Linked DNA regions of Caenorhabditis elegans. The gene in region 1 interacts genetically with each later gene. Each region holds a gene or a part of one and is shown on either strand. Other genes may lie near its edges.

Region 1 (10,837 bases):
AAACCGGGCGGCCTTCTTCTTATTCTCATTCTCATTGCCGACGCCACACTCGAGAAATACCACCGGTGTAGGCATTCTTCACGCATAACTAAAGTGATGGAGGCGCCAGAGTGCGCGTGTAGGTACTGTCGGATCCTAGAAGGGCGGTGCCTGTAGTGTGAGATAGTGAGAGAACAAGAGAAGTAAGACTGTCTCAGCCTGTGTATGATTTGGTAAGAAATGTGCGCTCACGTAATGTGTACCTTTGAGAGATGAATGTGAACAAGTATTGCCCCCTTCGTATTTCCGGTCTTTCGGTATTGTTGTAACTTATAGTTCTCATTTGTGTATGTATGTGTGTCTTTTTTAAATGACCACAACTTTCAAAGAACTTATATAAGTATATTCATTTCATGTGATCTGAAATTTTTAGACAATATGTCTTATTCTAAAACTAATTTACCAAGCAAGTTTTTTTTTTTAATTATCATTTTGAACTTCTCTCGTTTCATTGTAAATAAATGAGTTTCCATAATATAATTGTATTTCTCAGAGGAGATATTTGGAAAAGTTTCACTGGGAGATTTGATTATTTTATAACTATAGGACACTTCAAGCTGAACTTGAAGCTTCTCTTCGAAATATTTAAGTTATGCTCGAGCATGTGGCGGTGCAAAAGTACCCAAATCATAATTTAAGAGCTACCTGAATAATTATTTCTGTCCATACTAGGAGGACCAGACTCACCTGCGCGACTGTACTATTCGATATTATCATACATCCATAATATATCGGATGCATATCTTCTCGTCGTCGTCTCATTTTCTACGAATGGCAGAACAACCTTGGACCGATACAGTCTTCATGTCCTTTTCCACCGTCTTTGGCCCCCCGCGCAACTATGACTCTTTTCTCCTCTAAATTCTACCTGACGGGACGGGACGTCGTCAGATGGAGAATAGATGGAGGCGGAGAGACCGAGACATACATTTAGCCCAACCCGCCCCAGGTTCCCTCATCATCATTCTACTCGACAATCCTCTCCTCGTATTCATCTCTCTGTCTCTCTCTCTTTACCTCTATCGCATTACCTGGTTTTTTTGTATTGACCGGATTATGGATGATCATTTAAAAAATGAACGTTCAGCCTACTTTGTTTTTATTATTTAAAAAAAAATCGGTGTCCAGATGAAGTTGAAATCTCAAATTCCAAATCCCTTTGTTATCGTCATGAACATTCATTCTAGAGTCGGACTGTATTTTCAAAAATTTGATATTTTTAACCTTTTCCTTTAGTTCCGCATTGAGTTTAAATTTACAAAATATTACAGAAATTCTTCAAGTTTATAAGATCACTTTCCGCGACTAGAATAATCCTAATTGCTAAAATTTGTTTTACCAAAAGTTATTCAATAAACAAAACATTTTTTATTTCTCGCTCTCTACAGCTTTTTATTTATTAATCAATACTATGAACCGAAGTATAAAATGTTATGATTACTATTCTCTTTTCCTGAAATTGTTCCTGTAGTTGTTTGCATTTGCCAAACGCGTTCTTTCTTGCAATTGATTTATTGTATTGTATTGTCGTCTCCAGCCATACAAACATGACAAGTCCATACACATTCCCATAGATTCAATTCGCAACAAAAGGGAAGATCGTTGTGGTGGTGGTAGTGGTAATTGTAACGACAGAAGACATTGTCTAATTAGTTCCAGTCAACTGAACCAAAAAAGGACGGTAGCACTTTTTTTGCGGTGATTTGGATTTCTTTTTTTGCATTGGTTTTGATGTTATAAGTGTATGTACAAATAGTTTAGTTCTTAGTTCAACTAGTATTCAATTTGAACATTTTACTAAATTTGAAATTGCCAAGTTTGTATTTTAACCAATTATACTCAAAATTCCCTTTCAAACTTACCAAATTCGACAAATCACTCCAAAAATTAATTTTCTATATCCTTTTTTATCCTCTAGAAATGATACTCAACTTTTCAAAACTCAAAAACGTTTTCCTTGGTCATTATTCCTATATGAAACTCTTTAATGACTAAAACTGAATGACGTACCCACTTAAAATTCAATGAAGCAATTAATTGAATTTCTCCTTCTTTGTGAAAGTATATACAATTAATTTTGTAAACAGAAAACTTTTAGAATTTAAATACCATGTGCAAAAACTTTGAAATTTTCTTATCAGCAATCTCTATCGCAAAAAAATATTCTCACTTTTAAAACAAACATTGATAAGTTTATGCTTTTTGAATACTTTCTATAGTTTTCATCAGCTATAAAGTTCCATTATGCAAAAGGAAAAAAAGCTCAAATTTCGAAAGGCAAAAAACTAGGGAAATGTAATTCCTTACTCCTTCTGCTCCTCTTCTCATTTTCTCTCGCGTCTCTCTCACTCTATTTATGACATTTGCCACCCCTCTCCTGGGTTCTCCGGAGCACGGCGATGCTCCGTGTGCTCTTTTTTTATTTCCTCTCAACTGGCCTAGAATAATTTCTAGGCCATAGGTGAGAGTTTAAAGGTAGTACACGCATAAGCTAAAAACCCATCAATGAAGCAAAAAAGCTTCTAGTTTCTGACTGCCAAATTCTTGTTCCTCTATCTATATACCTCCCTCTCCCAGTTTGTATTTCTCATACGAAGGTCACTTTTAATTTTCTCTTTTTTCCCCATTTTCCCATCACTTTACCCCACCAACAGGTGGCATCTTTTCTCCTTTTTTCACATTTTCTCATTATCATTATCTTGTCAATAAGTTCCCCCATCCATTTTTTTTTTCTTTCAAATAATGCTTTTCTTATCAGTGTCCCATCCCCCAATCATTCCACCCCCAGTACCCTCCTTGTCTAGTTGTTTTTTCCTTCCTATTAAGGGAGTGTTGGTGGTCGTGTCATCTTGTCTTGTATCGAGGGAAAATACTTTTTGTCAGTAGTTATTTGTTTGTGAGTGTGTAATTTTGAAATGAACTGCGAACGGTTTCTCTAGTTCAATATTTTTTGTAATCACGCTATTTAAATTAATAACTATTGGTTTTATGGCAAAGTGATTCAATTTTTAAAATTTTCAGAAAATTTCTTGTACTTTAAGTGGCTTGAAAGCTCAACTGTATGGTTATGCTCTGTTAAAATTAAAATAAAAATGCAAAGAAACTGTAAGATCCTTTGGCCTATTTCGTTATTCCAAAAAGGCTTCATGGTACGGCAATTCAAATTGACAAACCGTTTCCCTTCTTTTGTTTAACTCTTTGTGAAGAGTTTCTATTAATTTTAATTACATTGTTCTTTCCAACTTGTATGCATGCGACAGTAGCCCTATTTTTTCCGAGCAGTTTCATCTCATTATCGTCTGGTAGTAAAGGATATGTTTCACACCCCCTTACTGATTTTCATCAACATATTTTGCTTTCTACTTCTTTGAAAACTAACTAGGCGTTAAAGCAAGGCCCAAAATTATATAGCTGGTAGGATGGTTAAGAGGCGATTGAGAAAAACCCATCACGTCTCAACCTGCTAGAATATCTAGAATTTACCCAAAAGCTCAAAAGCTCAGATCACGATTTTTTACATATTAAAAATTTCTTAAAATATTGTATTTTATAAACCAAATCCACTCTCCTATATATTTTCTAATCCTATAATAAGCTTCCCTTGTAACAGCCTGGTTTAATGATTAATTATGACGAAATACATGTATAAGGAGAATGTCATGTCCCATCTCAATCTCCTTTTGGTTCTCCCGCCAACCCGATTGGCTCCTTGTAGTTGGCTCTCGGCACACGACGTCTTGGTTGCTAGGCACCATTTCTCTACTTTCTCTCTTATTTCCTACCTTCCCTACATCTTCCGCTCAATTTATGTGCCTCCTCCGACACAACATTCGACATCGCCTCTTCGCTCCTCCCATCTTTTTGCCTTTTTTCCATCGTTTTTCATAGTCATCCATCCATCCCATCATCATGACGACGGACGATGATTCTCGTGTATATGACTCCACTTCTTTAGCACCTCCTTCCTTTTTAAATGTATTCCTATTTCTTTGTCGCCCCTTTTCACAAGTTTCCCCACCATTTCCAATCACATTTTGTTGCAGCCATAACGATTGAAAACAGCCGCAAACGGAAGATGGACGGCCCGAAGCCGAACCTGGCGTCGGCCGCTTCGATGGAGTCGTTGAACAGTGTTTCTTCTGAAGCAACGAATCCATCACAGGTCCGCACCTTGTTTGTTTCGGGTCTTCCAATGGATGCTAAGCCGCGTGAGCTTTATCTTCTGTTCCGTGGATGTCGTGGTTATGAGGGAGCTCTTTTGAAAATGACATCGAAGAATGGAAAACCAACGTCTCCAGTCGGATTTGTCACCTTTCTTTCGCAACAAGATGCGCAGGACGCCAGAAAAATGTTGCAAGGTAAATTTGTTTTCTTTACGTGTTGTCGAAAAATGTTCGATATACATACATTTCAGCAGTTTCTGCCATCTTTCTAGCTCAAATCTCCAACTTTCGTGTAACAAAATTAACGTTCAGCAGAGACTTGCGCTAGAATTTGCGCTTTTTTTCGAATTGGCATTGCTCCCATGTTACTAGAATTTGGCAGCTTATATCTCGTTTAACTTTGAGTTAATCAAAAATGCATTGGCATTGTGATTGAGAAGTTGTTGATATTTCAAAAAAACCAATCTAAATAAGATTAGTGAGAATATGACACAAATTCCTCTAATTGTAAGGTGCCTTTTTTGTTTTGAAATATTTATTTGTAAGATTCTAGCTAGATTTTCACCTGTTTCCTTTCCAGGTAGACCTGTTGACAGCTTTCCAACCAAAAGATTTCACACCACAGTAGGCATTTCTTGTCATTTTCTTTTTTGCCAATTAAAAAACCAATCAACATTGTTCCCACACACACACATACGACAACGAAATTCTTCAAATTTTCAGGTGTCCGATTCGATCCGGAATGTGCACAGGTACTTCGACTAGAACTTGCAAAATCGAACACAAAAGTAGCTCGACCTAAACAATCTCCACCACCACCACAACATGCGGCACTATCAGCCGCTGCAGCCGGAGTCCCGCAGTTTTTGGCACCAATGCAACACGATCTTCTACTAGATCCTCAATCAGCAGCTCTTTTCAATGAGCAACAACTATTGGCTCTTTCACTTCCACATTTACATGCTGCACAGGCACTTCAAGCAGCCTATATGCCAGCTTCTGCTCTACAACAATACAGTCAGAATCAATTGTTTGCAGCTGCTCAAATGCACCCAGCAGCCGCTGCAGCAGGTAAGAAATACTAATCACATTTTCTGGAAATTCCAGAAAATAATTTATAATTATTTTATTTCCCACAAGTCTCCCACAAACTAATTCCTTAATACACAATTAGTGATCACGATGGTTAAACTATAGCCACCGCACAATCACTATGTTCCACACATTCACAACTATCAAATCACTGTGTACACGCTATCCACTCACTGAAACTCTCACCATCACACATCACACTATTCTGAACTGTCTCGTAGTCCTTCTGTATCCCATTAGTTTCAAAATAGAGTCTCTCAGCTAACGGGGTTACTGTATGTTTGAGAAAAAAAACTTACTGTCATATGTCGGGATTTTGTTTTAAATATCACCAAATAATTCCAAAATATTTCTTAAAAACTTCTTAGAAAAAAATAGGAAAAGTTCAAGAAAATTCGATATGGAAAATTTAACCGCGTAGAAGGAAATTCGTTTTATAACCATTAAACTCATTTGAGAAATATTAAAGAAAAGTTGTGACGATATTTTTTCCGGAATTCATATCTCTACGGCTTTATTTTTTAAAATAAGCTCTTCCAATTTATGGCTGCCGGTTTACCTCAAAGTTTCTCCAGCTTAACCAAATAGTTTTGTATTCTTTATTTATTTTAGTAATTTGGAGCAATCTAGAACATAATCCTCGCAACTTCAACCCCGTTAGCTGTTTCTCTCTTTTTAAAAATTTCCAGACCTCCTATGACATAGCTATTTAAATTAGAGCCAAGAGAATTTTCAGCCAGCCTCCAACATTCTCAACAAGCATCTCAAGCTTCCACCTCTGCGTGCTCCACTCTTTTCGTCGCCAATCTATCGGCTGAAGTGAATGAAGATACTCTTCGGGGTGTATTCAAAGCATTCTCTGGTTTCACACGTCTACGACTGCACAACAAGAATGGATCATGTGTGGCGTTTGTTGAATATTCGGATCTTCAGAAAGCAACTCAAGCGATGATATCACTACAAGGATTCCAGATAACAGCCAACGATCGAGGTGGTCTTCGTATTGAATATGCTCGGAACAAGATGGCTGATGTGAATGGATAAGAAGAGAAGCAAGAATTCTTTGCAGTTTTGTGTATGTTGTATATCTCTTTTGAACAACCATTTCCTTTTTCTCTCTTTATCTTTTTTAGCACCCAAACTTGTAAAATTCATCCCCCTCACACACTTGCTATGTATCCTTGTGTATGTGACACTTAACACGTACGCGCACACCTAACAGGTATCCTTCTAGATTACTGTAGTTATCATCACACAGAGAAAGGGATTAGCTCAAACACTGTGATAATGAGTTTTTAAAACGAGTAACCCAACTGTGATGCCAAAACAGAAATGTGATAATTCAACGCCTGCATAATTAAATTATAAAATGCTTGACAAAAATAATAATAACTATTAATAATAATAATAATACCCGAAAGCCTTTCAACTGCCCCTCCGACAATCCACTCTCATTTTAAAATCAAACGGGTCAGAGACAAATCCTTACAATTTCAGTTTGGGAAGCGCACCACCATCACCAAATGCACAATCATCACTCAGCAACTACTACTTCTACTTCTTCTTCTTCTTCCTGTGCACAACCACCACCACCTCCACCAACGTACACCCGCTCTCATTACACTTAGTGCATTTTCGTCCTTTTTTCATTTTACTCTCCCAAAAAATCACCAAAAATCCTTTCGGATCTCTTTTTATTCGCATTTTATTTTCCTTTCTCTTAATTTTTACAAAATTCGAAGTGTTTGTAAGCACCCTACAGGAACTTCTATTGTCTTGACCGTAGAGCTCCTTTGCATCATATCTTTTCTATTTCTGATTTACTCTCTGTAAATATATATCACGAGAGCTTATCCACCTGTCTGTCTGTCCGAACCTGAAATTTTCTGTGATTTGTTCTAATTTTTCATAAGATCCTTTTTCCCCTTTTACCACCAATCATCATGCATTCCAGTCTCTCTTCTGTTGTAATTTGAAAAAGCTTTTGTAATAAATTTATACACTTTATTGGTTGGTTTCGTTGTGAATTGTTGTGATTTCAATAAGCCGTAAGCAAGTGAGAAAAAAGCGAGTTGGTGAATGGAATGAAGTAGGAAGTTTTGGAATTTGGAAAGCTCGGGAAATATGTTACAGATTTCAAAGAAAATATGCAATAATGGCAAAATGTGATAAAACAAAGACTTGATTGAGAGATTACAACAATCATAGGAATCATGGGATGACAAAAGCACCTATATGAATGAATAATTATTATGATGTGGATGTTGTAGTAGATCTTGATGTATTTGGAGCATCTGACTGAGATGTTGATGTCTCTATTTCCTGTAGCGTCTTCTGCAAAAATTCGATCCGTTTGTCCTTCCAGTCGACCTCGAACCGAAGGCTGTCAATGTCACGCTGTAAAAATCAACTTTTAAAAACTGGCGGTGCGAGTCGGCGCGCAAGAAGGAAGTGTCCAAGTATGTATATATGCAAATAATCCTCGATCCCCCTCCACCACCACACACTCCGGAAATGCATTGAGAGTGTTGAGAAGGTCTTATTTGTGTGCATGACTTTGGATGGAGAATCGAGGAGAAGGTGGCAGCAGTCAAGGGATGTTGAGGTCTTTTTCGTTTCAATGAACCATACCATAATCGGACAGGAAGTTTCGTGTCAACGATATTTCAAGAAAAAAGGAAACTACTAGTGTGATGATTCCGGGGATTTTTTTTTTGAGGAACTAATGCATTCATTTTTTTTTCAAAATTTTCTTTCTAAAATGGTTCGGTAATTAGGAAATTAGGTAGACGGAACTTTTGGGATTGAACAAAAACTATCAAATGATTAAATTTTTTAAGCCACTGAAATGTATATTACTATGTTCCACATTCTACATAGATGCCACTTCAAAATACTTGGTTACTGTAGCTCAAACTTGACATGTCTGTGTTATTAACCTAGTTGGCGCCGTCCTTCGAAGACATGAACATGAAAGTTGTGTAATAAACCAAAAATTATCCACTCTTTTTCTCTCTTTCCTTTCCTTCTTGATTTACAATAAAAACTACTACGCTCTCTCGACATATTTGTGAATTGTTGAGCATAAAGGAATCGAAAATCGCCGAGTATTGTCCGTGTATTCAATTGACACGGGTGGAACAGAGAAGGAGTCTGAGTGAGTGATTGAAAGAGAAGAAAGATCATTAGGTACCAAGTACCTTGTGCTCATACGATTGACATTGTTGGCTCATCCACTTCACGCAATACTAGAAAGAGACGGAGAACACGGGTTACACACGGACATTCCCCAATTTTGACAATCATACAGATTTTGTAGAAAGAAATTTCGAAATCAGGGGTTTGATTTGAAATAGAAGAATAGTAGTGAAACTTCCAACACGACCATGTGTCGATTTACGCAGCTTGTGTACTACTCGAGGAGAAGTGTGAGAAGTACACGAGCTGCGTAAATCGACACAGAGCCGGGTTGGAGCTTTCACGGTCATTCTTTTTTTCATGGGGTCTTAAAGCCCATAATATTACCCAGACGAGAAATTTTGCGCTAAAGATACGGTATCGAATCGACAAATTTTTTTTCAAATGCATAAAGGTGTACACCTTTAAAGGGTACTGTAACTTCAAGCTTTTGTTGCTGCCTAATTTTCATTAATTTTTCAATGTTTCTAAATTACAGTACCTTTTAAAGACGCACACCTTTTTTGTAATCAACCGTATTTTTAGCTTAAAAATCGAAAAATATCGCGTCTGGATAAGATGTATACTTCTAGGAAAAAACAAAGATTTCCATGATCTATCTCGTTAACCAATTTTGAAAAAGCGCACTTGAAATACTTTCCCGTTGAATACTTAAAGCTTTCAAAAAAACTGACGTTCCGTTCGTTTTTCAAACATTTTCCTCTCATCTTTACCCTCTTTTACTATTTTTCTAGGTCATCCGAGGTGTAATTAGACGGCAGTCAAAGAGGTATTTCTGTTTGTATGTGCGTGCAAACTTATATTGCCACCTATTGTAAATCCTCTACTTCTTCCGAAGTTTTTTGTCCCCCTTTCCCTGCCTACCACCTATTTTCAATTGTTCAGGTCACGGGCCACTTTAGCCCAACAATATGAGTAACTGACAGAGAAAAGTGAGTTCAAAGGGGCCAAGACCAAGTACCTGTTGAAATTCACAAATCTTCTCGAGACGAGAACAACGAACGTCGGTTTTTCGAAGTTGTTTTTGAAGTTGAAGAAGGGATTGTTGAAGAACACCTTCTTCGCCTGATGACGTGGCAGGCGTGGCATCTTCTGATTGATTTTCGTAATCGTCTTCAGGATTCATAGAAAACCTATAATATACAAGATTTCTTTCATAAACATTTTTTAGAATCGGCTCACTCTGCTCTTCGAGGTGTTGAACAATCGGCCTCAAGCTCATAATGAAGTGGGAGACTTGTCGGTTTCTCCAGTTGCTCCTTATTTGATTTAGCATTCCAGCCGAAAACCATCGGATTGTCGGAAACTGCAGCGATCTGAAAGTTAAATAATTTGAAATGTAGCATATTTCAAGTAGTTCATGAAAAAACCCGTTTATTTTTGAAAAATTATACTGACCAAAAATTTAGTGTAAAAAATGAACTGAAAAATTCCAGATGGAAATTTCTCAAATTTTTAAATTAGCCTATTCAAAGTATTTACCTCAAAAATATGTCTTGTTTCAAAGTCTTATTATTAGAGAAACACACTTCCTTCACTTTTGAGAAACCTGACAAAACTAAAAATGTGTAACTCTATAGAGAAAGCTCAACGTACTACTATAGACTTCTCCTTCTTTTTACGGACCACACATAAACGCACCATTGGACGATTTAATTGGCTTTGGGGTCACTTTTCAACGCAAAAAACTGGAAGTGAGCAAAAGGGAAGAAATTGTGAGAATGTCCAGTGAAATCCGGAGAAATCACGAGATTCGGGGCACGAGATAAACTCACAAGAGGCGAGAGGATGGAGAAGAAGCTCAGCTGTATATGGGGTCCCATCTATCATGTGTTTTACTCTTCCCCCTCTTGTCATACAATAAAACAGAAACAAAGAGAAGAAACTAAGAGAAACTATGAAATAGCTGTTGTTGGTAGAAGAGGACTTCTGTGTGAAGTGTGAGGATTTTAAGTTTTTGAGAGAAATATTTTTTGTTGATGTTTGAAGTGTTATTTGAAAAGACATGTTTATGAAAATAAACATTTTTTGAAAGTAAAAACTTTTTTATGAGGAATGGGTTTTCAGAAGACACATAAACAAAGATCTACTTGAATCTTAACTAACTAAGGAATCCCTCGCTAAATTATAGAATTAGTTATATGATTTCAGAAAGCTAATTTAATGATAAATTACCAATTCAAATTGAGACAAAACTATTTTTGACTGAATGATATTTTCATTAGAAAAACGTTTTTTTTTGCAAATTTCAACACAAAAGATAAGGTAACCGATTTTGACACGATGCGCCTTGAAAGGCTACTGTAATTTCAACCTCTTTTTGCTGCGGGACTTTCATTGAATTT
Region 2 (12,997 bases), on another chromosome or scaffold:
CCACATTATGGAGAAATTGATGCGGGTAGTATCTACAAAGAGAATATACTTTTTCAGTTTTGTCGGTGACTTCTTGAACATAATTTATAGTATACGTTTTCATGGTTCTGTTTGCGGTTGGCGCAAAGAATTCACAAACTTGGTGCATATTGCATGTTCCGGCTCACATCAGATCAGAAACTTGGTACCTTCAAATTTTTTTATACAAATAAAATTTTCATCAAGTGCATCGTGAATACGAGCTGGCAGGGTTTGGCAAGTTTCTTTAGAATAAACTGACAATGCACAGAGTTAATTTCTGCTAATTGTTTGAAACATTTTGACTGATTGTGAGTTCATAAAGTTCAAAACTCTTCGTAATATTTGAATGTGTTCTTTCTTATTTTTTCCATCAGAGATATTTCTAGAAAATATACATACAACTAGCGTAATATTGAAAGTATACTTTTTGATTTAATCAGTCGGCGACTTCTGTAATTTTGTCTAAAGTATACGTTTTCGGTGTTCTTTATCCGGCTGGGCCAAAGACCTTGCAAACTTGGTACCCGGCCCATCTTCCAATTTATGGCAGCTCACAAACTTGGCACCTCCCAATGATGAGAGGCTCCACCCACTTACAACCAACTCGTCCGCCCCCCGTTGAGCTCACATGCTTACTCTTTCATTATTTCTTCATTTTATTTTTGTTACTTGTGTCTATTTTACTGCTGTTTCCGTTTTCTTCTTTCATTATTTATTTAAAATTTTCCATCGCTTACTTCTTTTTCAGTTTAACATGAACTCAGTTTTGAGTAACATCGAAAAACTGGATACATACATTCTCCGACGAAATGAATATGTAGCTGAGTCTAAAGACGAGCCGAACAAACTAAATACCAGCCGAAAACTGGAAGTCACCACGAAGAAGAATCAATCAAACAATAAAAAAAGACCGCCACCTATAAATAAAGCTCGAAAAAGTCTACCAAGTATTTTTAGAAGAGCTGAGGAAAATAAAGATAGTGCCCAAATTATCACACCAACTGGTAAGTATTTTATCTTTTTGTAATATTTTAGTGTTTGTTTGCTGACAATTTTAGCATGTTACTAAATTTTTTTTGTTTTCAGGAAGTAAAATTATTGGGAGCCCCTTATATAAACGATCAAAATCGGATTCATTTTTCGACCACGCATTCAATTTTGATAAAAATCTTGGGAAAGGCTCATTTGGAGAAGTCGTTGCAGCAACATGTCGTTCAACTTCAAAGAAGTTTGCAATCAAAAAAATTCCATTTTCAAAACTTTCAAAAGATCAATATCGCGAAGCATATGGACACATGAATATTCCATGTCACCCAAATATTGTGAGATTCCACCAAGCATGGATAGACAAACAAATTCTTCATATTCAATTGGAAATGTGCGATAAAAGTTTGGCGGCATATTGCCATGGAATTGATTGGCTGGAAGACAAGGAGCTTTGGAATGTGTTCTTGGATATTTTACAAGGATTGGGACATTTACATAATAACTTCATGCTTCACAACGATATCAAACCAGACAATATATTTATGACAAAGAACAAAGTTTGTAAACTCGGAGATTTCGGATTAATTTCGGACATGAGATCGGTATGTTTTGTAAATAATTTAAAAATGCACATAAATATTACAGGAACCAATCAATAATTCTTCAAATAAACATTATCAATCAGAAGGCGATGGAAAGTACTGTTCCAAAGAAGCAATCAATGGTACTCTCTCAATCTTCAGTGATATATTTTCATTTGGAATATCGATTCTGGAAGTAGGAACCAACATTCATCTACCGAGTTATGGGACAGGATGGGAACCAATTAGAAAATGGGAAATTCCAGAAGAAATATTGGAACCAATGTCAGATGAACTTCGAGAATTGGTGAAACAAATGATGGACAAAGCCCCGACACGAAGACCAACTTGCTCTGAATTAATGAAGAATCATGTAGTGAAAGAGAAGCTAAGAATAAGGAAACAAGAAGTTGAACATATTCCTTCGGTTAGTATATTTCAAAATTTAATCCCATAAAATATTACATCTTACTTTACAGGAGTCGCAATTTCAACCGATATCCTATCTCACAACAGAAAGTCCATTAGGATCACGGGAATCATCTTGCTCATCTATCGATTTTCTTGACCATTTTGAAAATGCTGAAAAAAAGACACCATTTGTGAGTAAGCTGAATTTCGATCTAGAAGATGATGAAGACGAGTATGAAGTCTTCTCTCCACCAAGAACTCCTGTCAAAAAATCGCGATACCAACAAACAATGCCGGAAGTCAGTCCACCCAGAAAGATTCAAAAGTTATTCCAACGGAAAAATTTATTTGATGAATAGGAAGGGAATGTAAGTTAACAGGTAAGTTTGCTCTTTTTTCTTTTATAAAATTCGTTTGTTATTTTGACTTTTGAAAATTAAAATTAGGAAATTAAAAAAAAGTTATTTAGAAATTAACATATCTCAAAAGTGAAAATAGTAATTAGGTGTTTGCAACATCTTAAAAAGCACATTTCACAATTAATAAACTTTCAATTAAAATTGCAATAAAATTACGGGGGAAATTTTCAAAATGTCAATTTAAAATAATAATTTAATTTTCAGGTCCGTTGTTTTTCATTCAGGTTCAATCGGTTAAATATCAATTCCAGTTTTTAACATCTCATATCATCGATTGGTACAAGTTCTTCCAATCAGAAAATCGAGTTCAGTTTTAATCATCAGCTTTGTTCTTCTTTTTTCTATAAAATAAATTATTTATCACTGAAATTGGTATACAATTTTTATTATACACATTTTAGTTTTAATATTTCAAAAAATCTTTGTAAAAGAAAAACAAGGAACCCAGTATAAAAATCAGAAAACTGTACGAAATACTGAAAAGTGACGGAGGATTTGGCATATTTTAGGTAAAATTGATAAAAGTTTTGAAGATGTTAAAGCTGATTCAAGGTTTTGGGACAGGGGTGGGCAGAAGCTCATTATTCTCAAGGGGCGTGGCTTATTTCGTTACCGGAATTCGATTGGTTTTGCTCACAGTTGCTCATGAAAGGGGATGGAACACAATGGGGGGGGGGGGGGGGTGACTAGTAGCACACAAAAAGTGACTGGAATTTCAGAGGGGGAAAATCACAATTTCTTTGGTTGGGGAAGAAGAAGAAAATGAAAAGAGAATGGGAGACAAGTGACTGGAATGATTGAAATTAGAATATTTTTGCAAAAAAGTTTAAGCTCGATATGGAGTTGATGACTTGAAAACTACTTGAAGCGTCTTTCCAGCCAAATTTGTGCCATTCAGAGAAAGCATTGCATTATAGGCTTCTGTGTAGTTGCTCATCGATACAAATGCATATCCTTTGCACTGTTGTGTCAGGTCTCGTAGAATCTCAAATATTTCAAGTAAAAAATTTTCCATTTAAAATTTCTTGCTTACCTTAACATTAACAATTGCTCCAAACTGTGAGAATAACTGCCATAACAGTGTATCATCAGTATCTGATGAAAGATTATATACGAAAAGGCAATATCCAGCAGTATCTGATGGCGGTAACGTGGCAGCAACTGAAGCTGACAATGCAGATAACTGAGCATGAGCTGCTAATCCAGCAACTTGTCCATTTGTTGCCGGAGGGCTCGCTGTTTGTGCAGCATGTTGTTGAGCAACTGCGTGTTGTTGTTGCTGATGCGCTATTAATGAAGCTGTGAAATCAGGTACGGCTGTTGCTGTGGCAAAAGGGTTCAGGCCAGCAAGAGCATTCAACTGAGACATCTGAAGAAGCGCAGAAGTTGTCAAATAGTCAGCAGGAAGTGTAGCGGTTGGCTGGGATACTGCAGTGATGGCGCCCATTGGGGAATATCTGAAATATTGGAAATTGGTCTTGAAAATGTAAAAAGAAGAATATACAAACTTGAAAATACAATTATTATCAATCAAGATTTCTTCGGGCTTACCTGTACTTTGAAGTAATTGGAGCATGGTGCATCGGTCCGATTCCTCCAGCAGTTGCTCTCAGCGTCGGTGCTCCAAGAATTGTGCTCAATGGTACCAGTGTTGTGGCGGCTTGCTGTACGGCTTCCAGATCACTCAGCAGTCCTTTCGGATTGTTACTTGCTGGATTATTTGCGAATTTCACTGTGATTTGCTCTGAACATCCTGATGGAATACTTCCATTTAGTGTTTTAATTGCAACATCAGCTTCGTCTTTTTTGTCGAAACGTACAAATCCAACGCCTTTTGAGAGTCCTGAAATAGCTCTAATAAAAAATGAAACAAATTATATTCCGTAAACAATCAACTATATTTTTCTTAATTTTGAAAATTTACACATTTCACATAATTTTAAAAACACACCAGTTACATTATCTGACAATATTCGAGATGTGATAATCTGTCCAAATGGCCGAAAAATCGATTCCAATTCGTGCAGAGTCATCGATTTTGGAATTCCAGAAACATATAAGTTTGAACCTTTGATTTGATCATTTGATGGACGGGCATATGATACCTGAAAATTTCAAGTTATAGATTACAATTTTAATATTCTAAAATTTAACTTTGTATTTTTACCAGTGAATGTTTTTCTTTTACATATATGAAGAATGCGAATTTTCAAGTAAAAATATAATTAAACATTTTCTAAGCGTTTTGTGCACATCTATTGCTCCTATTAGTGATTGTTTGAAAGACGTGAGACGTTTAACGGACGTTTAGACACACATTTAGAAGCTAAAATCATTATAAATCGGGAAAGGGGTTTCGCGAAATTAAAGTTGAAATTAAATTTTGAAATTAAAATATTAAAATAAAAAGATTGAAAACTTAAAACAAAAATTGCACAACAGGAGCAAGGGGGTGTTTTCTAATAGTCAAAGGAACACCCAAACAATTGAAAAATTAAAAACTTTTTTTGAAAATAAAAAAGAGTGAAAGTAAAGTAAAAGACAAGTAGCATGTAAATCAACTAAAAATAATAATATTTTTCCGAAAAAAAAAAAAAAAAGTTGACACCTTGATCGTCTTATTCTGCAATCGTAGGCCATTGAATGAGCTGACTGCACGAAGAGCATCCTCTTCTCGGACGTAATTAACAAAACCGTAACCAAGGGACTGTCCTGAAATGAAAAAACACCAAATGCCGAAGAGAGAAGAGAGAGAAAGAGTGTGAAAATATAACAAAAGAACAATTATTTATAGGTTACGGGTTTAGATTTTCTGATTGTATTTGTAGAGCTCTCTTTCTGAAAAATAATCTCCCTACATCTTTTTGCTACAAACAGTTTGCTGCTTATTCTAAATTAGTTCACATGATTTAATGGTATGAAACTATTCCAAAAAAGTATTTAGATATCACAACTTTAGAATTTTAACAATCCCTATTCAAAAATGTTTAGCACAAAAAGTGAATGTGAATTCTTGGTGTACAATTGTGTGTGTGTGTGAGTGATTTTGAAAAAAATAATGAAAAGTTGAAACGAATATCAGAACATCACGGAAAAAAGTAATAACCGAAAAATGAAAAACTTTAGGGGGAGTAGGGCGGGCGGGGCAGCAGCAATCACACACGCACACATGTACAGATTTACAAAAATCGATCCGAAAGAAGAAAATAAAATTATTTGTGATCTATCAGAAAAGAGGCGTCAAAATCTAGTTTCATGCTAAACTTTTTCGGCGAGACACAAAAAACGGTTAGAGCAACTCAATTCGTGGTTGGGAATCAAAAATCAGTCAGAAATAAAAATGATAAGGCAAGGGGTGATCTAGCTAGATAATGTTTGGATTTCGAAAATATATAAGTTTAAAATAAAATAATGAATAATATAGAAGTTCCTCCTCACCTGTTACTTTATCTCTGACCAATTTACAAGATTCAATTTCTCCGATCGATGTGAAAAGGGACCGAACTTCTTCTTGTGTCATTCCTTGTGGCAGATAATTGATAATTAAATTTGTTTTTGATTCTCCAATATCCACATTTGGCGCGGAGCAGTATCGTTGTGTACTTGTGTAGGTTGTCTGCAAAAAATATAAATTTAAAATTTAAAAGCGATTTTTGTATAATGGTCCCGGTTTTTCGAATGAAAATCTACGATTTTCAGATGTAAAAAATTCTGAACTCCCTAGATAGAAGTCCCGTTTTTGTCAATTTACATAAATAATACACCTCGTATATTTTCGGGTGCCTAGCATTGGTGAGAAGCGTCGGTAACCCCGGAAATTGTTCATTTTTTTCATTTGGGAATAAATAAATTATTATGTTTTTCTGCCATCTTTGTCCAATCTGACTATATATTCCATTTTTGGAGGTTACATCTGACCCAAAAATATTTCCCCTATGATTTCCAATCTTTCATTCCACCGGGAGATCTCAATTTTCAATTTCAATTCTTTTCTCGCGCGCGGGAGGGCTCTTCGGTACAAGTAACCGGAGAATTCATCCATTTCGCTGTCCATTATTTGGCCACGTCTCAAATTTCCTGTGCGTGAGCAAGTCTATATGGAAGAGATGGAGCCCCCCGCATGTTCTTCCCACCTCCTGGTGTGCTCACTGGAAGAGCAACAATACCCATGGGTATTTGAGAGGGAATAATGTATGAAATGAAATATATGCAAACGTTTTTTTCTACGCTGTTGGAATGAATAGACTTTAAGAGTTTTTTATAGGATCTTTGATTAAAGAGTTCCATATGCGTTTTATAGAAATAAAATTTTGAACCGTCCGGTATTGAGGAGGAACGTAATTTAGCAAAACTGTGATATAAATTCTAGTAGATTTCGAATTGAATTTTCACAAAATTTTAAAAGTTTTTAAATTTTAATTTATAGGTCTTCTATCAATTTTTTGAAGAAACACTTCAAAAAAACTGAAGAAAATCGCTGAGTTTTAGAATATTCCATATATATAGTACCTCTAGAAATTTAAATTAAAAAAAAAACTTCGTTTCTACCAATTTCATTAGTCATATATTGCACAATTATGATATTGTTAATTCAGCTATATTTTTTCAATAATCAAAAAACTTTTTAGAAAAAAAGAAAACAATTTTCAACAGGAAATCTAAAAATCTAGTATTCTCTTGTTATTTTTCAATTTTTCTCTCCATATTTTAATTTTCATGTCATTTCCACTCCCATCCACCAACACCACAACACATCATCATAATATAGGTGGATGAGCACGCAGGAATCTGAGCTTCTGAGCTCTTTCACAAAACAAATATTTTTATTTTTGGTCCTTATTCCTCCCTCATTCCTCCCTCAAGGCGTAATGAATGGGACGTATTTTCGAAAAGGAGTGGTTCGGAAAGGCGGAGAAAAGAGAAGAAGAGTAAGGAAGAAGGCTTCTCGGATTTTGAAAAATTGGCATTTGGGAATTGGGAAGCTTTCTTGAAAGAATGACACGTCAAATGCACACGCATGTATACCAAGTTTGGACTCGGGCTCACTGACGGATTGGACATTGGGGAAGAAACAATATTCAGATTTATGGTTATTACTAGAATTCAAGGCTCAACAATTTGTTTAGCTTTTAGATCTGAACGGAGCCTAAGCATCCAGTTTACCTAGTCCGAATTTTAAACAACTGTCATGATCAGGTTCTAAAAGCTTTTTTTAAACTTTTAATTTAACTAATAAAAAAACCATTCACAGTTAGAACCTGTAACAAACTTACAGCTCTTCAAAATTACCGCAGTTTACTGTTCTACTTTTAAAATGTGTATCTTTGCTATGGTTCTATATTTTATTAGTTGAATTTTTGTTGATAAAATCTTAGGCAACCAAAATATGAAATGTTACAGTCGAGTAGATTTCTGGACTTTTTGTAGACCTCAATGTTCAAAGATTTTGAAAACCGTATTTATTTTTGTTTTTTTTTTCTACTGCTTCTGGACTTTCATATAGATCTTTCCTAATAAAAATTGAAAAAAAAAATTACCTGAACGGGACTCGTCGGAACATTGTTGTTATTCGGTGTTAGCAACGCTTCCATCGTCATTTTGAAGACCGAATTTTGGAATTCAAAAATTCGAATTTCCTATCCAAAAATGCGTCGTTCGTTGTCTTCTGAAGTTGACACACCACCACTTCTTCCACTTGGTCTGTCAGGAAACAAAAGAGGGCTCTTTTCAAAAAGAAAGAGCTCCGGTTGTTGTGAGAGCAAAGAGAAGGAAGAGGAAAAGGGGCTCAGGGGGGCGGGGGGCCCGTCGCGAGGATATATGTAGAAATATGCACAAATGGGCGTGGCCTATTTATATTTTGTGTATGTTTGTGTGCCGCGGCTCCCCGTATATGCTCCGTTCGTTTTGGGCCGGCCGAGACTAGGGGAGATGGATCTGTAATTTCATAGGTTTGATAATTAATTTAAAAAAACATATCAGAGAGCAAGAAAAATAGAAGTGAAATAAAAGTAAATGGAAAACGTTTAATATCAGTGAAACTTTACAGAACTAGTTGTACACCATGATTTTTCACAATCCTACTCCACTCAACTGAAGCTGCAGAATTATGGCAGCGCACAGCATGACATACCTATACTCTGCCACTCAATTCCCTGTTGTTTTCAATTCTAATTAGCTTTGTTATTGGTTTACATAGACGCATGAATATATCTCATTGCCAATGAAAAGAACATTTATTGTTTTTATTATTGCTGGTATGATGCTTAGTTTCTAAATACCTGTGTATGTGTGTAACAGGTAAAATGGGAACTGTACGGATTATGAGGTAGGTAAAGTTTTAAAAAGGCAGATAAGAAGCCGAAAGACTAGGAAACAAGAACTACTAGAAATTGCAGGAAACTTTCCACAATCTATATAAAGGAATTCAGTTGTATAAGATTTTGGATCATGTGCTCAGACGGAAATGAAGGAAACAGGTGAACTTGACACATTATATGGATACGTATACACGCCAATTACGGCTTGAATAAGTGTATAGTGAGGGTCCAGACATTACAAGAATACAGTGTGAAAGCTGAATTTCATAATTTCCAACATCATAGAAAAAAGAATAAGAGCGCATCATGATTGAGGATTTTTGTGAGGGCAGGTGTGGAAACAATGGTTGATCAAACATGACTGACCTGGTTAGTGAAGGATATAGGGGAAAAGGATTGAAGATGACACGTATTTGAATAGGTGTTCGGTAAGAGGGAATACGTGAAGCCCGGTGGAAATTTTGTGGCTCTGGGAAGTTTGAATTTTTAAAGAAACGTAGGGGCTACGAAAGAACGAGTTAAATAAACCTATAGAATACCATCAACCATTCTACAGTAACCCTGTTACTTGCTCCGATTCCAGTTTTCTTGAACTGGAAACACTCCATCGCAAGTTTGCACCATCTAGTCAAGAAAATATCCAAATGCTTCTGCAATTTTGCAACAAAAAAAAAGGATTCCGCTGATCTTGAGAATATCCCAAAACCTGTCTAAGCACAAAACTTTGGCAATTGGTCACTATGGAATGCTAGGAAACAATAAAAAAAATCGACATCATTGTCATCTCAAAATAACTACCATAGAAACGGTGATCGACGATGAAACGCACTCTTCAATTGTGGTTTTCCATTAGTCCTCTTCTTCACCGCCTCTCGTCCCACCCCATACAAATACACACGACACGCACAGTTGAATGAACAACAAAACCTGAATAGGTAGAGAGGGGGACTCAATTATGTGTTAGTTAGGTAGAGGGGGGTGGCCCCCATATTGTTGTGTGAAAAGTGGTGCAGAGGAGAGGGCGGCCGGATGAGAGTACGTACCCCCGCGTCGGCGAGATTCATAATTGCTCAGGCCCTTTTACAGGATACAGTATTTCATGCCTTCGATCCGTTCCCAATAATTAGGTATGGCCCTTCCATTTGGACTTTTGGTTTGAGATAAATGACTACTAAGTACTTCAAACTACATTTAACCCTTGCGATTTTGGACTTTTCGGGAATTTCGGATTTAGGGGTTTTCGATTTCACAAATCACGGATTCAAAGACTGTAAAGTTCAAAGCACGGTCAATGGAGGATATTTTCGAAAGTTTACTGCAAAACTTGACTTTAGAAGAAGGAGATCACGATCGGATTTAGATTTTTTAACTGATACAAATTGCCAGTAGGAACTTTTAATATGAAATGCATATGATAATGATTTTAAACATAAAGGGTAGGATAGTTCCTTATCTCCATGACAACACGGTATTTAGGAGCAAATTTCTGTCAATCTGGCAAGGTTATTAGAAACAGATATAAAATTGCTCCCAAACGCCGGAAAGGGTCATTTTTTGAAATATTTTTATTGGTTTCTGAGGAAGTAAAACTACTAAAAACGATAAAAGTTCTATTCAACCATGGAAAAATGATCTATAACCAACTTATATGTAAACTGACTGAGTAGCGACTCTGTATCATAAGCAATCTAGTTGTTACCCCTCCAAAGGTCCAATAAACAATAAAAGTTGGATAAGTGGAATGGGTATAAGTGAATATAAACGAATGCGAATAAGTGGTGGATATCGTTCGCTCGTCATAAAAACTTTGATCTACCTCCCACCAACCATACGGATTTCATATAAAACATATAGATATTGGTTATGAGAGAGAGACAGAGAGAATTAGAGAGGTAGAGAGAGAAAGACAGTGAGAACTGTGTGTGACCACACACGGAAAAGTAGAAGATAATGAGGATGATGATGATGATGATAGAAATGAAATGAAATGCAAAACTAGATTTTTCCATCCATCTACACCACAACATTCCCCCGCACATGATTTGAAATAGGGGAAAAAGAGACGAATTTCGGTTGTTATTATGGTTGATTATATGACACACATAATGTATTGGATGACAGTCTGTGGGATTATCTAGCGTCTGAAAAAATGAAACTGGTGAAAAAACACTTATAGACTTGGTTTTACTGGCACATGTGCCAAAATAAACTGATCTCGTGGTTTTAGTCTCAATGATACGGTACCCGGTCTCAGAAATTCATACCAAAAAAATCATACCCAAATTTAGTTACTAAAAGTAAGTTACTCTTTGACGTATTGTGACATAATTCTAGGAACAAGTTTCTGTTATTTAACACTAAAGAATTAATGTAAAAATCAGTTTGGCAGATGATTCAACACTGACAATTCGACAAAGAGGCGAGAACGGGCGGTGGTAACGTCGGCGAGAATATAAAAAAAATTACGGAAAATGAGTGGGGGAAACGAACGACAAAACTAATACACATTCATCGACACATGTGGAATTGAAAGGAAAAATCGTTGGCAAGGAACACAAAAAATTTTGAAATCAAAGTAATGAAACCCACGACAATGAGCAGATGAGAAGAGGAGGAGAATGAGAATGTAATGAAAATGATAAAATGAGATTTTCTAGGAAAAATCCGCTTGGTGTGAAATATTTCAGTTGATGTGTAAGAGATAGAAAGTCACTTAGCGACATCACCAGGCAACATGTAGAATAAAGAAAGAAACCCTCCAGAAAACATAAGTATCGGTTTATAACAAGAGTTGTTTTAAAGAATTGGAGAGGTGAACAACAATGAAGAAGTCAACTAGACGTTCACTATGGAAACAAGTGTTACGAGACGCAGAGCGCAATACACATGAATTCAGGTGGTCTAGGTAACAAATATTTGAGATCTAGGTTTGCACTGAAAAGTTAGGTAGAGACAAATTGGGTTCTACGAGAATTTATGCCATGGAAAACTTGTTAAACAAAAAAGAAACTTGAAGAAATTTTTAGAAAAGACATTCCAGAAACCTAGTAACTTCGCACCTCCAATGTTATAACCACCTAGAAAACTTCCGTGGATAAATCTGCCGTAATCAGCTAGGCAACTTGGTATTTCCTCCTAACCCAATACAATACGGAACGCTTCAAAAAGCGCGAACCGCCAGCAAAAACGAAATGGACATATAAACAAGACAAGATGTTGGTGAAAATAGAGAGGGATAGAGGGAGAGAGAGACCAATTAGTATGTCAAGAAGGGGACCCCGAAAATGGAATAAGAAATGGCTGTGAGTGAGTCTTAGTGTGTATGCGTGTGTGTATGAGTGTAAAAAGGCAAAAGAAGAAGAAGCCGAGTTAAAATTCAAGGAGACGCTATCCTTGATGGGTGGTGGTGGTAGTGGAAGGAGGTGGTCACATCAATTCTATTCATTTTCATTCAGAAACAACAGGTGTTCACTCTTGGGAGCATACGGTGCGCAAAACAGGTGGACTTCTAGATGATTGGTGACTTTTAAAGGCACAAGAATCATCAGACATATTCATCATGAGAAGGGTATTCCAAGTTGGTGTGGGCGGCGAATCTCCTCAGCAAACCTACAAAACTGCAATGATAACTCCCTTTTTGAAATTAAAATAAATGTAGAAAAATAGAAACATATTTGCTTCAAGCCAAATCTAAATTTTCGGGCTATTATAGAAAGGCGAGACATTTTTAAAGTCAGAAAAGCAGTTTAGAACGTGCCCGGAAAACCCGAGAATTCGGTGAACCTAGCAAAACGGATAATTTATCAAAGCCCAGGGAAACCCAGCTAATCAAGAACTTAAGCGTCTTGTGAGACATCAGCGAGAGCTAGGTACGCAACGAGATTCGGCATTCAAAACGAGATATGAGGAGGAGGTGGGAGATAAATTGTGTTTTTTTCTTAAATTCTAAAAGGTAGCGTATCTAATTGTTCCGGTTTGGTTTTCCACTTCCATGACCAGTCATAAATGTGGTAATGAATGGAAAAGTGAATCCATCTCCACTATGTGATCGAAAAGATTAAAACTTGAACTGCAAAGGTGATTATACTCGAAATTTTGAGTTTAACATAAGAATGAGTATTCTCAATTAGAATTTCAATGTTAGCCATCCAGAAGCCTAATGAGCAAAATTTGTGAGTTTCTTGCAGATAACGGGACCTCTCTTTCTCTCTTTGTGTATGTGCCTGTCCCTTTATCCATTATTCACTGCTCTCTGGAGGAT

What was found.
Region 2: changes in mec-8 (region 1) and exc-7 are lethal when combined (synthetic lethality), as found in Caenorhabditis elegans (one study listed by BioGRID).

The regions. Positions count from the first base shown.
Region 1 is NC_003279.8:9,437,473-9,448,309, reverse strand, and holds mec-8 (RRM domain-containing protein), read left to right. Parts: upstream 1-4,082; 5' UTR 4,083-4,114; coding exon 4,115-4,397; intron 4,398-4,925; coding exon 4,926-5,273; intron 5,274-5,511; exon of another isoform or gene 5,512-5,626; intron 5,627-6,030; coding exon 6,031-6,338; 3' UTR 6,339-6,369; intron 6,370-6,791; 3' UTR 6,792-7,300; downstream 7,301-10,837. Other genes in the region: C17E4.10 (PRKC apoptosis WT1 regulator protein), read right to left, coding at 7,545-7,691, 9,454-9,625, 9,675-9,808.
Region 2 is NC_003280.10:9,571,327-9,584,323, reverse strand, and holds exc-7 (RRM domain-containing protein), read right to left. Parts: upstream 8,354-12,997; 5' UTR 8,017-8,353; coding exon 7,957-8,016; intron 6,036-7,956; coding exon 5,858-6,035; intron 5,132-5,857; coding exon 5,028-5,131; intron 4,525-5,027; coding exon 4,371-4,524; intron 4,263-4,370; coding exon 3,971-4,262; intron 3,877-3,970; coding exon 3,453-3,876; intron 3,405-3,452; coding exon 3,246-3,404; 3' UTR 2,789-3,245; downstream 1-2,788. Other genes in the region: Membrane-associated tyrosine- and threonine-specific cdc2-inhibitory kinase wee-1.1, read left to right, coding at 776-1,025, 1,108-1,610, 1,654-2,016, 2,069-2,359.